Drosophila melanogaster: one gene and its partners. The protein of the gene in region 2 interacts with the protein of the main gene of each other region in a pairwise test. Each region holds a gene or a part of one and is shown on either strand. Other genes may lie near its edges.

Region 1 (7,676 bases), on a different chromosome or scaffold from region 2:
GTTTGGCTGGTTTTCGGTTCGTTCGTTTTTTTTTTTTTTGTTTGCTTGGTTTTTCGTTTTTGGATGTGGCTGGCCATCATCTTTGGTTGCTTGCACAATCCCCCTTCGATGGGTCTTGAACTCCGGGGCCCAATGCCCACTGCCCAATGGTTACTCGGCATCATCCGTAACCTCACTTTTCCATTCTGTCCAGCGAACGGGTGTGGCCACCGCCTCATCCTTCCACTGACCATTTGGGATCTGTGTGTATAACTGTTAATGGTGTCCAACCACCAGAGCACCGGAGTGCCAGAGCACCCAAGAGAGCGTTCAGTGAGAGCGGCGGACTCGGACTCGGAATCGGAGACCCGGGATGACGACACCGACGGCAGCAATGGCGATGGCAACAGCCGGATTATGTATATACCCGCATCCGCATCCGCACCCGTGCCCATGCCCACACCCATACCCATACCCATAACCACTCACCTTGATGCCGACGCAGTTGTGGATCTTGGTGGACAGCGGCTCCTTGTCGGCCGCATAGCTATTGATGATCGAGATGCATTCGGTTTGTGGGGCGATGCACAGGCGACAGCAGTTTTGTCGCGCCGACCGTTCGCTGTTGCTGTTTCTCGCCGATGTTGCTGTTGCTGCTGTTGGAATGGCCGCTTCAGGGGATGTGGTTCCCGCTGACGCAGTGGCTACCGTCGTCGTTGTCGTTCCAGGCTGTGTCGCTGTGGCCTCCAATGCTACCGATGCTGTTGTTGTTGCGACGGCTGCTGCTACTGCTGCTGTTGTTGTTGTTGTCGCTGTTGCCGCCGCAGCGTCGCACATTTTGTCGCTTTTGTATTGGTCGCCCTCTCGCTCTCTTCTTTGCCGCTTGCTTCTACTTCTCGGTTGAATTTGTTTTTGGGTTTGGTTTTTTGCACGTTTTCACTTTTGTTTCGGTCTGCGTCCGTTCGCAATCGTTCCACACCATCCACATCCACTACTACAATATACTACTATGTGCTATATTATCCGCTCTCCGACGGAAACGACCACGCCGCTCGCGTTTCCCACTTTTCGCACATTGTTCGCACTGGTTCTTTTACTTATTTCGTTGCCATTGATCCTTTGCTGATTCGCAATTTGGAGTTTCGCTCTTGGGTTTCCTTTATCTTCGCCTATTTTTCCACTTCGCTTTTGTTTGGAGGAGTCGCACTGGAAAAAAAATGACCGCTACACTGGGACTGCGAATTGCCGTGGCGTATCTGCGACTGTAAACGGGAAAATGATTTCTGGCGAAAAAAGGTCGTTTTTGGCTAGAGATGGGCACGCCGGGCGAAGCCTGGACCTTACTATCGCTATCGCTTGTGGCAGACGCATGCGTGGTCACACTTACCACTGTACGGCGGTTTTTCTTAGCGGTCGCATACCCGGTCACTCTGGGAAATAACCATCAAAGAAGCCATTTTAATTCGATAAGTCGATCTCTTTGACTTTTTATATCGCGGCTATATAGAATTTCAAAATAAAAGTATGAAAAACTCCACATAAAGATTGTACAAAGATTCTCTATAAAGTGAATCATAAAATTTACTGCATTGAACGTACTTTAGCTTAAATTTCCGTTGATTTCTTATTGGGAAATTAGGTATGTTAAGAGATTTGAATTAAGCAACTACAAAAGTGAATTCTGAAAACTGATTTCCAAATTAAAGAAAATAATGTTTTAATATTGCAGTTACTTCGCAGTTATACCGGGAACATACGAAATTGTGAATGCACCGGCTACTCGATAGCCACCGATATTCCGATTGGAAAGGGCACAGCTATCGACTAGAATCGAGTAATCAAAGTAACAACAGGTTGTTGTCCCGCCCTGGCGGTAAGTCAGTTGATAAATTCACTTCGGCATTACAAAATACCCGCAGAGTGCCAACATCGCGTTTGCCGATACTTAAAGTAATTAAAAGCGTTATAATTGTGCCGTTCTTTATGGTGTATTTGTTTTCGCGCAACATGCGTGTTCTTATTGCTGTTTAACACGTTTCCCTGAAGTGTAGACTTGTGAAATCTTTACTTTAAGTCTCTGCTCCCAAATATTCTCCAAGACAGACGTATTTGTGTGCCTGTGTGTGTATCTGCCGAGAAGAAATACATATATCGTACGACTGGTGGCGGGGTAACCAGCGATAGAAACTTTCGTTTGATATCTTCAGATACAAAGATACAATTGTATCTCGAAATGCAACTACTCACACACACGCACGCACGCACACCGGCACTGACACGTGTTGATGTGCTGCACTTGTGTGCGTTTTACCCATCTGTTGATTGCGACCTTGCTAGTAAATAATTACCATCTAATAAATTATGATACAATAGGAATAGATGCGCCCACCTATGTATCTAATTATGTAGGGGCGTGCACATAAGGCCCATTTTTATGCCTAAATGCCAATCTTCTGACCTATCTATCTATCTCATGTGCGCTTTTAATAGGTTATACTTAAATGAAAGCGATCGAACTTATACTTTTCCCGGAATCCGGGACCATTTCAAAGAATTTCAAGATAAGCGCACTCAAAGTTGTAAGCGATTATTGTCTTATTTTTAGTGGTATTTACGCAAAGTTGTTCGAATTTACTGTGCCAAAATCATAAGTAAAGAAATATATAAAAAGTACAACAACTAATTGCAAAATGAAGCATCAAAATTGTATTTCGCAAATGTTCGAAATATCTTTTCGGCTCTATGTAACTATGAATCCAAAATTCACAGGAATTTTACTTCTGATCCATTTGTAAAAGCATGACTCAATTAGTATACATAGATACTTAGATACATAGATACTTATGTATGCGCACGGGTAGACTTTGTTGACGTGGGTTTGAGTGTAAGATGAATCATCTCGGAGTGAGCAAATGCGTTCTGTTGCCTTGAAAACGGCCCTTTCCGATGATAATGGACCGCAGAAATCGCTGCGGTGGAAATAAAGCCATTGTTCTGGTTATTTGCGCTGCGAGGTGCCATTGAAGTCTTTTCCAAAACGAATTTAACTTAATTTTTTGGTTAAAAATGTATAAAGAGTGGGACAGAACAGACCGTACATGCAGTTGTTTATGTTTATCAATTGAAAAGTTTTCAAGAAAGGCTTTGCAAATGACGAAACAATTGGAAAACAAACCCAAAGCCTTTGTGCAAATAGTTTAATATATTATATTCAGGCCTCACATTTGTTTCCATACCCATTAAGTCAGGAGGCGTCCCTCTGTCTGAAGCAAAAAATTATAAATTACAAGTAACACGCATGACCCGCAGCTATATTGCGCATATATAATATAAGGTAAAAGGGAAAACACAACGTTTATATATATGTATATATATGTATATATATATATATATATGTAGATATGAAGTACCTTGTGGGCCACAAATGGGTGTAGCATACATGTGTACATGTGGCGAAAGTCTACATTGGCGACATTTCAGTGGAACCATTATAAGGTCTCTTGGGACAGTTTACTATATCGCCGAAATTAATTATTTTATTTTAATGTTTTTGCATATTTCATATATCCATATCAGTTGATTTATTTTTTTGGGAAGTTCCCTCTCTAAGCAAAACCGGATGCCTTTATCCCATATATGACGCAAATTCATATTACTCTTAATTGCTTAAATTATAAGGCATACCCTGTAATAGTGTTCTTATCTAATAGCGCAATCCCCACTCCAATTTGATTGGTTTCCAATGTATGTATACTCAAATACAAGTTAGACCTATTTTATAACTTAAAGTTTGATTTGTACATTAGCACGTTTTGTTGCGTAGTGTAATCTAATGTTTCGGTTCAAAGTCGCTTGTACCTTCTATTTGAGCACCAATCTTTAACATGATGTTAGATCAGCTGATTAAACATTAAAACTATATGTACATTGTACTTGTGCATGTGTGTGAATATTTTCAATTTAACGAAACGCATAATTCCTATTTTGCTCTTTTCCAGTACTGAATCTCAATCACCGGAAATTATCCACAGAATCTCCATAGAACCTCCCTCAAAATGTATCCCTTCGTAAGTTTTGAATGCACATCCTGTAGATTTTAGTTATAAAAGTATCAGCATTAATAAGTGCCTTGGTTCTTAAATATCATAACATATTCACAATATATTTTATAAATAAGTTTGGTATAACATATTTTTTTGGGTATAAAACTATAATAATTTATTCGGGTGAGTTCTTTCGTTTAGTCTGATTCATTTTTCTAAGAGATAGATGTCATTCTTGTGAGCTCTGTGTTTAATTCAGCGCCATGGAGTCAACTTGAATTGTACATTTTCTGACTTTTATAGGGTTCTGGAATGCCATCGCACCCCCCTACCTCCACTAACCACCACGAGCCGCCACGGGCGCCCTTTGGAGCTGGTTGGGTGCCACCGATGCAGCAAAACTCGCCATACCCACCACCCTCCCAGCCACACCCACACTCACAGCCATCGTCCCAAATGCATCCTCAGCAGCATCAGCAATATCCAGGCGGAGCTCCAGCTCCTTATCCACCAATGTCGGCACCGTACCCGTCCGCCGCCCCATCCTATCCACCATATCCCACCTCGAATCCTTACCCGGCACAATACGCTCCTCCAGCGCACAATCATTATCAGCAGCCATCGGTGTCGAACAGTCCCTATCCCGCGGATCGTGGATACACACCGGCCATGACAGCCGGATATGATGCGGGCTATGGCTACGGAAACGGACAAGGACATGGACAAGGACATGGACATGGGCAAGGACATGGGCACGGACATGGGCAAGGACATGAATATGGGCATGGATATGGGCAGGGCTATGGGCATGGACAGGGGCATGGGAATGGTCAGGGGCACGCGCATCGGTCACTCCCAGCTCACAGAGAGGTTGGTCATCAAATTTGGGGACTCACGTCCACACTAACCGCACTTCCCCATCCTCAGTCGAATTTGTTCCAGGGCGGGTCTAAAACAATACATGTTCATCATGCCCATCAGATCTGAGCTCGTTTTCAGTGACTGTTTTGACTGTTCTTTTCAGGGAACTCCCACGGTGGTGCCTGCCGCAAACTTCGATGCCGTCAAGGATGCTCACGACTTGCGCAAGGCCATGAAGGGCTTTGGAACAGATGAGGACGCTCTGATTAACATCATCTGTCGGCGATCCAACGAGCAGCGCCAGGAGATCCAGCGCCAGTTCAAGACGCACTTCGGCAAGGACCTCATCGAGGACATCAAGTCGGAGACGAGCGGCAACTTTGAGAAACTCCTCGTCGGCCTGCTGCGTCCCATCGTGGACTACTACTGCGCCGAGCTAAACGATGCCATGGCTGGCCTGGGCACCGACGAGGAGGTCCTCATCGAGATCCTCTGCACGCTGTCCAACATGGAGATCAATACGATCAAAAACCAGTACTTACGATGTAGGTCGTAATCTATTTGGCTTAGCCTTTTCTCTTTGTTCTAATATGGATTTTGTTTCTGCCAATCGTGTATATTAGTGTACGGCGCCCATTTGGAGTCTGAACTAAAGTCGGAGACGTCGGGCAACTTTAAGCGGCTGCTTACCTCCTTGTGCACGGCGGCGCGGGATGAGAGTGGTCGCGTGGATCCCGTGGCGGCCAAGAACGATGCTAGGGAGCTACTGAAAGCCGGCGAACTGCGCGTCGGCACCGATGAGAGCATGTTCAACATGATCCTCTGCCAGAGGAACTATCAGCAATTGAAACTGGTATGCTGCTTGATACTTGAGTACTTGTGTGTACAATTGAAACTCCAACATAATCATACCTAACCGCAGATATTCCAAGAGTACGAGGGCATGACTGGCCACTCGCTGGAGAAGGCGATCAAGAAGGAGTTCTCCGGCGATGTGATGGAGGGCCTGATTGCCATCTACAGGTGCGTCACCAACAAGGCCGAATACTTCGCTTCGCGCCTGCACAAGGCGATGGCCGGAATTGGCACCAATGACACCCAGTTGATCCGTGTGATCATCACGCGCAGCGAGGTAAGTACATCTATATATAATATCATTCAACCCTAAAATGTTGCAACGTTTTTCAGATTGATATGACGGACATTAAGGTAGCGTTCGAACGTCTGTACGGCAAGTCCCTCAAGAGCTGGATCAAGGTAAGATATATATATCTATCTATATCTATATTCTATAATCATATAAAATCCTACTTGCAGGGCGATACTTCGGGCCACTACAAGCACGCCCTTTATGCCCTGGTGGGTGAACAGCGCTCCTCTTAAGAATCTCCGCATATACATATATATGTATTATTCAAACCAAATCCGACGTGAAATCAATTATTCGAATATGTATTATCTCTTCTATGTATTCGTTCATTTAAATGCATACAACATACAAGAACACGCCAACGAAGCCAGACAATTATGATCCACAACGTAGACTATAAGTGCACACAAATAATACCTGAACGGGATCAGACATTTGATACCTCTTTCAAAGAAATGAACATGGGAACCGACAGTTGACAAGTGTTGAAGTTGTATTTTATTAAAAGACCTTTGTATTTAAATGCGTTCGTAAAGACAAATAATATGGAAGTTCCTCTCAAAAATCGCTTGTTAATTTGCTCGAAATGAAAAACCAAAAAATGAAAGAGTTGCTTATATCTTGACAAAGTGACCAGGGAAATGTTGCAATAAAAGCTATGCTTTCTAACTACCGACTTCGTCTCGACAGTGCCTCAATGTGACTATTGCCTAATTTGAAAAAAAGCATTTAAAACTGCAATGACATTTAAAACTACAATATACGCATATTGAAACGATGAATCGATTCGTATGCACTTATACACTATATATGTACACATACTCGTGTTTGTAAGCGGGTTTTTAACTTCCAGTTCGCTCTCAATGGAATAAATTATGTTTTATGTATGTGACAATCCGCAATTGGATTTTTTTTTTCTTATCGCTCCTGGTGGGTGGGATAGCGATGCTGCATGGGTTTTATTTTAGAACTCGAACCTCGATGAACATGGAATCGTTGCGAAGATAGTTGCGACTGGTGATTACCTTGTGTGGTATATGGAAGTACTGGTTGCTTTGGATAAAATCATCGCTCTTCTTGCGCACAAAGATGGTCTTCACATAATCCTCGGCATCTGCCACATTCGTGCACTGATCCCGGATGATGATCTCGGCCTGAAGGCGGCATGGCCAGGCCAGAAGGGGATCGTACTCTCCGGATAGAACGTTCAAGCAGGCGATCATGTTCCTGCCCTTCCAGGTGCCCTTGCCATTCAAGTATATATCCAGCTAGTAATGGGGTATACATATATAAATGGCATATCCAACCAAGATCCAACCTCAACTCACCCGTAGAGCATAGCCAAAGGCTTTATTGGAGAACATGGCGCTATGGAGGATGGTGTCGTACTGCTTGGACTCTTCCAGTTTTTTCGAGTAATCCTTGATGCGCCAAATCAAGTGTCCTGTACGACCAGATATTATATATTTAAATTACTATATTGAACCAACAATATGTACCCCTTATATTCTGGACACTGGCAATCCGCTGCTGCATGGCCATTTGGGTCTCCAAATCCGATATATTCTGCATGGTCTGGTGAAGTGCTCGATCCAATTTATCGCAACGTTCCTCCGTTTCGCACACAATGTTCTTCACATTCT
Region 2 (4,214 bases):
AACAATGTTTTCACACTGTTGAGATGAAAAAATCGTGTCGATGCAAAAGCACAGCTTTTTCAAATCGGGTGAAAGAAGAATGCGTAAGAAGCAATTCAGCTTGAAAATCAGTTTGCCAAAATGGGTCTGGGGTTCGATTTTAGTATCATTTCGGTATACTCCATTTGAATTGCCATAATTAATTGTATATACAAAAGAGCAGGAAGGATTATGTATCTAATTTTAATATACTTTTAAAATTGTAACTTATGTTTAGTGCTCTCGCTTAATTATAGTTTTGTAAAAACGGGCTATTTGTTTTTATTCGTAACTGAACACACATTTTTTTGAAAAATCAAAATATTATACAATGATTGTTTTAGTTTTAGTTGTTTAGGGTTTTTTGCTATTTTACACTTGCTTGTTTACAATTCGAAATTGGAGAACAGTATTAAAAGGCCAAGGCGAAGGCAAAGGCGAAACGAGAACTAAATATATTTAAATGCGATTTTCTCTGCGCGATTCCAATTTGTTAATCAATGTCACGCGCTCAAAAACTCACACGAAAAGTTCAAACAAACGGCAACCTGATGCGCAAATGAATAAAAAAAAAAAAATCGAGACACGCAACAACTCGGCAGAAGAATTAGTGGACGACGACGACACGGCTGTCGAGCCGTTCTTCTCCGAACCTGAAGAAGAATTACAAATTGTATTCGATTTACTCCTCTAGCAAAAGAGTCTGCGGCAATGCTCAAGTTTTGTGCGTTCGCTATGCTCGGCAATTGTTACTTAAATGTGCTTTAGTTCAGAACTATGTACCCATTCGGTTGCCTTATAAAAAGGATGTTTTTGTCTCTTCTTAGGGCTCATGAAGATTCAAAATATTCCTTTTGCCCCAAACTCAAAACGTTTGTTTTCCAAAATCTTTTGTTCAGACGTTGAAATAGAATGAGAAACCAATTAGAATTAGAGAGTCGATGGACAAACAAAGAGCGCAGCATTGCTCGATTGGAAATCTTTTGCAACTAAATAATTCTAGAATGCGAAGCAATTTGTAATTTTTATTGAAATGCCAACAACTTTGGGCCGTTTATAAAATGGCCGAAAGAGGAGGCATTTGAGCAAAGGGGTAAAAATAAAACAAAAACAAAAAACAAACAATTTAAGTGTTTTCAAAAAGTCAACAAACTCATATATGCAGCTATATATATATATAAAAATAATAAAAAAAAAAACATTAATTTATTTCTTACTATATAATTATTGTTGTACTAAGTCGGTGAGAAAACCCATGAAAGAAAGAAATTCACACGAAAACTAAAAAACAAAATGCATATTTATTAAAAATAAGCAAAGGTTGTGCAAAAAAAAAACACATTAAAAAGCAACATTATTATTGTAAAAATTAACTAAATACGGCAATTGTTATTAAATGTGCAAAATTCAGCAAACACATTGATACAAACCTCAGAAAATACAAGCCAAGATCTGAAAACGGACATCAATGGAATGCAAATTTTTGAAAATATAAGGCAAGATGAACCGTGAACGGATCAAACAGAAACGGAAACGGAAACAAAACACTCAACAACAAGAAGTACAAAATGTTAAATATGTATCTATAATTTACAATTACGTTTTATATTACTCTCTAATTTACACGCTTACACAATGGAAAAATAGCTAACTATTATTGCAATCGTCCTCAAACACACAATAAAACTAGATCAAAAGGCGGAATTATTACTTTAGCTAAAATAAAATATCACCTTTTGCAATTTGTATCATTTTCTTACCCTTATTGTTTCACATCGAAATCAGAAAAAATAGTTAAAATAGCCGCATATACTCATATTAAATTGAAAAGAAACGTGTCATTGCAGAAAAGGATAAAGAAAATAGTAATATAAATGATATATTTATTCATATAAATGTATTTGAAAATGTGAACAAAAGAATACCAACAATAAAACACAATTTAATAAACAATGTGAAAGCTACGAGTGTGTTTTTTTTTTAAAACACTTAAAAACACAGTAGCCGTGCAGTCAAAAATCCAAAACAAGAAAACCAAATTTCGAAATGGAGGAGCTAATGAGGCAGAACGGACAGAAATGCGAGAGGCAGGAACTCACCTGCAGCGTTTTATTTACCAAGTGAGTTAATCTTAAACCAGTCGGAGTAATCTTAAAATATTTTCCTTCTCCTTGCAGTCCCAAGCTTAGTGCCGAGAAGTTATCCTCCAATGATGAAATAAACTCCATTGCGAGATTCGTATCGAAGGCGGAGGATCTCGAAATGCATAGAGTGTTCAGTAAGATATCAAAGAATGGTGTCGAGGAGACCACGTCTCTGAATCGCTCCCTCTTCGAGTTCGGTCATAATTTCGAGGATGCCGATGGCTGGCTGAAACTGGAGCAGCCTTGCAAGGATCGGCTGGCCACGGTGCTGCGCTACATGTTCGAGTCCCATCTGAAGACCACTGTGCAGATAGAAATCAACAATATGTACTTCAATTGCCACTTCATCGTGCTGCAGGTGTACTCTCGCTTCTTTAGTGAACTGGAGATGATTCCGCTGCTGGTCACCCTGCCCGAGAAGATCGTGTCCCAGAAGGCCTTTATGCTCTCCTACAAATGGATGCTGAGCGATGAGCCCGTCCTGGAGCTGGCTCACATTGTGGAGGTCTATGTGGCCGCCACTTATTTGAGGATCTCTGGTCTGGCGGCGCATTGTTGGAAATATTTCGATGATGAGGAATACTACAACGAGGATACGGCATGTGTCCTATACGTCGAGTCGAAGGACAATCCCGCCATGGATGTAGTTCGCAATTTGATGCTGACTAGGATCCGCAAGTTTCTGCTCACCTTTGTGGCCACCAGGGATTTCCTCGATCTGCCGACCTCCCATCTGATTTTTTTGCTCGAATCCGATCAAATCTGTGTGAACACCGAGATTGAGGTGGTGTTCAACATAATATTTATAGTTATTATTGCATTTTATATGTTTTTCTTAGGTTTTCTTTATAGCTGTTCGATGGCTGGGTCACGATTGGAACAAGAGGAAAGTGCACGTACGTCGTTTAATGTCCTGTATTCGATTCAACCTGATGCCATTGTGGTATCTACTATATGCGCGACGGGAGGAGGATCACCCGTTGGTGATGAAGCTGATTTTCAACCCGGAGGTGGAGTACAAGATCGACGAATCCATATCGAGAATAACGTCGCGCATGTACGAGGATGCCTTGGAGGGCAATGACGCACAGAGTGAGGAATACGCAAGTGATTCCGGACAGCGAAACTGGATATGCGATAGCTTGTGCAGCTATTATCACGGCGTCGGTTGTCCCAATACCCGGGAAATTCGTTTCAAACACTTCGAGGATTACCTTTCGGAATTACAACAATGCTCCAAAGATCACTGGTCTCAGGTGATATTTCAGGACCCGAGTAAAAAGATTGACTGTTGCAGCACAAGGAAGATAAAATCGGACGATTTTGTTGCCGATTAACTATTGAGTTTGAATAGTAACGACTAGAATTCAAATTTGCGGGCTTCAGTTTGTGCTAGTATAACAACTTGGCACACTTTTCTGTTATACATTGTACACTTCGTTCATTTGATATTTATGAAACAAATCAGCATATTTTTAATAATATATTTTTTAAAATGTACATCAACATTTTAAAAAAAAAGCAAGTGGTTTAATAAATATAATTAATATTTATTGTATTATTGTCGCAACTTTAAGTGTGACCATTTCTGCAACGCTCTTTGGCATTTCGGGCAGATAGGGTGGCGTGCACACTTTGCATTGTTTTGGAAAATAATTTGATACATTTATCAGGAAAATGGAAAAACTGGAGGCCCTAAAAATATCCTCGATGCGTCCGCGCAGCAACATCCTAGACAGACCACTATCCAAGGGCAAAACGGAGGTTTCCCAGAGCATTGTGGCGCTGCTTTTCAGCGAAATCGTCCAGTACTCGCAGAGCCGAGTGTTTACAGTCCCAGAATTGCAAACAAGGTGGGAGTTTCTCTAAGTTTTTGCGATTAATTCGTTAATTCCAAGGCGTTTTCAGACTCCACGATCTGGGTCAAGATGTAGGCACCCGCATAATCGACCTGTATTTCGTGAGGGAGCGCAGCTCCAAGCGAGAAACAAAACTAACCCAAATGCTTCTCTTTGTTAAGACCACGGTGTGGAAGAATCTCTTTGGCAAAGA
Region 3 (4,683 bases), on a different chromosome or scaffold from region 2:
GGCAACTCCCGCACATTGTTTTCATTTGCGATTGCAAACAAAATTTAATATTACTTGTATTCGAAACAATTAAGCTGAGAAATCATCATGTAAGTCTGCGTTATTATCCTCCGGCTTTGCCATAGCTAACTCTCGATTCCAACAGGACGGAGTACTGGAAATCAAACGAGCGCAAGTTCTGCGACTTCTGCAAATGCTGGCTGAGCGACAACAAGGCGGTGAGTCCATAGAATAAACTCGCTTTTCGGCACTCTAATGACCCCTAATCCCGCAGAGCGTCGCCTTCCACGAGAGTGGCAAGCGGCACAAGATGAATGTGGCCAAGCGGATCACGGACATCAGTCGCAACAGCGAGAAATCGGAGCGGGAGCGCCAGAAAATGGACGCGGAGATCCGCAAGATGGAGGAGGCGGCCATGAAGTCGTACGCACAGGATGTCCATTCGCGCGGTGACATGACCGCCAGGTCCATTAACACGGTAATGAGGGCCACCGCCACTGCTGCCGCCTCAGGCGGAGCTCACTCCTTCGCCGGAAGATCACGCCAAGTGGACCCCATGCGCCTGGAAGGATTGTCCGACGAAGAAGAAGACCAGAGGCGGGTGGCTCCCGGCAAGGTAACAAGCGACGCAGCCGTGCCCGAGGCATCCCTCTGGGTGGAGGGCAAGTCGGACGAGGGACACACCTACTATTGGAACGTGAAGACCAATGAATCCGTGTGGAAGCCGCCGAAAGAGGGCTATCTGTCCTACGAGGAGTACGAGCGCATCAACCAGCTGGCCATCGACCAGCAGCAGATCTCCCAGGCCGAGGAATCGCTGAAATTCCGCGCCAATGTCGACGAGGAAGTGGCGAGGGTGAACCGAGAGAAGATGAAAGCCTTCCGCAGGACGGACAATCCCAAGGAAAAGAAGCAGAAGGAGGAGAGGCGTCAGACATTCAAAACGGAGGAAGAGGCGGCCACCAAAGAGATTGGACAGTGGCAAACTGTGGAAGTGAAGTAGGGCCTTCCTACTAGGTTCAAATGCATTTACTGATAAATTTATGGATTTTTGTAGAGCACCTGAGCAGCCCATCGACTGGCAGCTACCCAAAACGGATTACTACAGTGCTGCGCCCGTGGTTTCCGCCTCGAGTGAACCAGAACCTCCAGTCAAGAAGTTCAAGGAAAAGACGATTGGCGGTCTGGATGAGGAGATAGCCGCCACTGCGCCCGCCACGTTCAAGCGGAAATTCATCAGGAAGGGAAACAGCCGCCAGCGCGCCGAGGATTAAGAAGTACTCCATGTGCTTATGTGCATATTTCACCTACTAGTTAGGTTTAGGCATAGGAAATGTTTAGGTTTTTAAGTGTTTGCTTATACCAATTAAAAAGTGAGATGCGTTTAACTAATATTAGATTAAACATAGCTATTGTAGAATTATTATTATCTTTAGTCGACTTGCATTCAATAAATATTTCCCAACATTTTAAATAGTAATATGTTTTTTAAAAAGTTTTAAATTTCGATAACAGTTATCGAATTAGGTTCAATCGGTGTGTGTCTGTGCTTTAGTTGCGGCATATTTAGGTCTTAGAGCTCCGTCCAATTTTAGTGCATTTCCAGCGGCAACACGAGGTATGTTTCTCCCGTCCGCCAACGGTCACTCTGCTGCTGTTGTTGTAGGCGAGCGGTCGGAATTTGCGTCGGAATTGTGTTGAGTCGAGTCGCGCTATTTTGTTTCGAGTGCGCTGTGCTGTTTGGTTTCGTTCCGTTTCGTTTCGCTGTTCGTTTTCCACTCGTCTTCGAATCCGCACTGCAAACAAACAAGGAGAAGGGGAAGCAGCAAAAGTGGCGAGTGCATTCGCAGCGTCGAAATTTCAATTGAAATCTGAAATCTGTGTGGCAATTGCAGCGGCACTCGGTGTAAATAGATTGAATTGAAGCGAAATTCTGCGAGTCGAAGAAGTGAAAAGTAAACAATAACACGGGCAATCGGAAAAGTGGTTTTCGATAAATCGCACCGCACACACACACCTGTCAGTGTGAGTGTCAAAGTGAGTGTGTGAGTGTGCGTCGAAGGAGAGGAAAGGTCAAGCCAAAAATTGCGTAAAGAAAAGGAAAGGAAAGCTTAGAAGAGGGGAAGGGGAATTACGTCAGTTTCGCATTCCCGATAAAAATTTTTGATTCCCTAAACGATCCTGATAGCCAGCCATTACGATAGGCAAAAAACGATAACAGCGGAAATTTACGTCAATTTGGAGCAGAAAGTAAACGATACCAATTCCCGAAAGAATTCAAAAAATCAGGCAAGATTCAGTTCGTGTACGCTTACAACAGCTCCGCGCCCCACGCCGCCTCCTCCTACCGCACCGCCGTCGCCCCCTTTGCGCCCTACGCGGCCGAGCGGTCCACCCACCACCACCCACTCCCGCCCCCCGAGGAGCGGCTGCCCTCGGACACCGAGCAGCTAGCTGGATCCGACGAGGATCGGGCTCAGAGCCACGAAGCGGAAGCGGAGGAATCCGAGGAGGAGCGCGCAGGTAGCGGACCCTCCGTCAGGCCGCTCATCGCAGCAGCAGGAGCAACAACAACGACAACGTCGACGTCAGTAGTACCGGAAGCGGTACAAAGGGCGGCGGCCAAGGGAGCGACAGAGACGGCGACAATGGCGGTGGTGCGCAAGAAACAGGACGACAAGTACCTGCTCGCCCTGCGGGAACTAGTGGCCAGCGGGACGGGGAGCAATCGGCAGTGCTTCGACTGCGGCCAAAAAGGACCAACCTACGTGAACATGACCATCGGATCCTTTGTCTGCACCCGCTGCTCCGGAGTCCTGTAAGTATTTGCCTTCTTGTTGTTGTTTTCTAGTCTGGGATAATGTAGGGTAGATCCAGGAATTAGGCATAAGTCGCCTGCTAGGTGACCTTTGTTATGAGAATGTAACTGTAACTTGGCTATTCATATTTTAGTTATTTCTTTGGTTGTCTCTTTGAGTTTACCAGGTATTCAAGATACCTCTGGAAAATATTTCAAACAATTTCCGATGCACAGATTGATCTAGCTTGAGATTTGTAGAATAAGGATGGTGGGTTATGAACTGACAAATCTCTTAAAATCTTCCACAAGAAGAATCCAGATATACGACATTTATGGTTATGGCTTTCTTGAATGGCTTTTGGTTGAATTCACACATGTTTTTTATCAAAAAGCTGGCTACCTATATACATATTCTGATAACTGCCAAATGGGCTACCCCCACTGCGTTTAGGAGTCATATAAAATATTGCCTTGAGTGTTTCCAAAAATAGAAATGCAAATTGAGAGCTATCAACGTCGATCCGTGGACCTTTCTTGGTCTCCCGTGTTATCTTGACTTGAACCCAGCCAATTTGAACTCGCCTGACGTCCATTTGGGATCTGTGCCCGAGTGGAGTGACCGATAATTTGCGATCGATCGATGCAATGTCCGATCCCGCCCCCCATTATTATTTCGTATTGTGTGTGAAAGCGAAAGCAATTCCCCAACAATTTCGAACAATTTCGCACAATTTGGCTTCCTTTCCTTTTTGAATGCAAATGCAAATCGAAGACAAAACTTTCAATTGCGCGACATCGCGGCGAACGAAATTGTTTTGTCTTCGCCGGCGTCGCTTTCTATTCGTGTTTTTCCGTGGGGAGACGTTTTCGAGAGCCGCCCACCTGGCGGTTGAGTTGTGGGTGTCCTTGGCGCCCCTCAGTTTATTTTTTATTTTTGCCCCTCTAAGTAATTTGGCAAATTGGCTTTGATTTGTGAGCACTATGGCCAAATTGGGGTCATATATGTATTACCACTCCGCCGACACTGCATTTCATTTGATTTACGCATTTCCGGATCAAGCACATTACATGATTGCTCTTAAACTTCCGCTTGGCCCAGGTCCAGAAGCCCAGTCTCCCACGATTCGTGTGCCCCAGATTGTGGCCTCTCAATTGGACAGCATGCGGGTTTCTCCGCTGAGTTATCTCTATCATCGGAACCAGGTTGAAAAGTAGCCAACTGCAATGCGTTCGCCCTGCTGCACTCTGCAGTCCCCAACTCTTGTTTCGATGACTCATTGCCCATTCCTCAGTCTTCGGTGTGCGGTGCTCAATCCTCAATCCTTAGTCCTCAAACCTTGTTGCCAACTGCCAAGGGAAACAAATGTTGGCATGTAAATGAAAAGCCACATAAATGCCGGGGACACCAAGCGATTGCACTGCGAGAAAGGGTTAATGGTTAATTGTAACAAACAATTGGTCCTGTTAGTCGGATACTTCTGCGGTTTTTCAGTTACTAGTCTAACGACGTGCCACGTTTCTGCCGGTGTAGCCAAAAAGGGGTGTGGAAAGGTACTGCAGCAAATGGGGGACTCGGCCGAGGAAGGGGGCGTGGCAGGGGCGACAGCAGGCGACAACGAACTTCCTGGCTGAAAATGAGACTGGAACGTCGACTGCGACAAGGGAGCGAGTGCAGGGAATACCAAATGAAACCAACTCCTCCGACTCACGAAGAAATGGCTGTGCATGTTCGGCCCGCCTTTGGATATTGGAATCCGCTGCAGACCGGCCGGTCACTTGGAGCGCTTAATGGAGGAAGCGGTTCAGGAATGAGAATGGAACTGGCAATGGTAGTGGGTTTCAGAATGGGAATGTCCGCGGTGGCGCGGGGAGGAAAACCCGTC

What was found.
Region 1: the proteins of CG12857 (region 2) and AnxB11 interact in a two-hybrid assay, tested with the Drosophila melanogaster proteins (one large-scale study listed by BioGRID).
Region 3: the proteins of CG12857 (region 2) and drongo interact in a two-hybrid assay, tested with the Drosophila melanogaster proteins (one large-scale study listed by BioGRID).

Annotation. Positions count from the first base shown.
Region 1 is NC_004354.4:16,416,420-16,424,095, reverse strand, and holds AnxB11 (annexin B11), read left to right. Parts: upstream 1-1,853; 5' UTR 1,854-2,315; intron 2,316-3,703; exon of another isoform or gene 3,704-3,723; intron 3,724-3,970; exon of another isoform or gene 3,971-3,977; 5' UTR 3,978-4,034; coding exon 4,035-4,046; intron 4,047-4,325; coding exon 4,326-4,892; intron 4,893-5,046; coding exon 5,047-5,428; intron 5,429-5,506; coding exon 5,507-5,736; intron 5,737-5,805; coding exon 5,806-6,015; intron 6,016-6,071; coding exon 6,072-6,140; intron 6,141-6,200; coding exon 6,201-6,266; 3' UTR 6,267-6,992; downstream 6,993-7,676. Other genes in the region: hang (hangover), read right to left, coding at 469-816; Traf-like (TNF-receptor-associated factor-like), read right to left, coding at 6,993-7,301, 7,362-7,477, 7,533-7,676.
Region 2 is NT_033778.4:14,757,407-14,761,620, reverse strand, and holds CG12857 (uncharacterized protein), read left to right. Parts: upstream 1-2,018; 5' UTR 2,019-2,064; coding exon 2,065-2,138; intron 2,139-2,195; coding exon 2,196-2,946; intron 2,947-3,001; coding exon 3,002-3,499; 3' UTR 3,500-3,714; downstream 3,715-4,214. Other genes in the region: Trs31 (TRAPP subunit 31), read left to right, coding at 3,840-4,015, 4,071-4,214.
Region 3 is NT_033779.5:848,034-852,716, reverse strand, and holds the start of drongo (drongo), read left to right. Parts: upstream 1-1,645; 5' UTR 1,646-2,648; coding exon 2,649-2,818; intron 2,819-4,683. Other genes in the region: CG4291 (uncharacterized protein), read left to right, coding at 88-89, 146-218, 275-999, 1,058-1,274.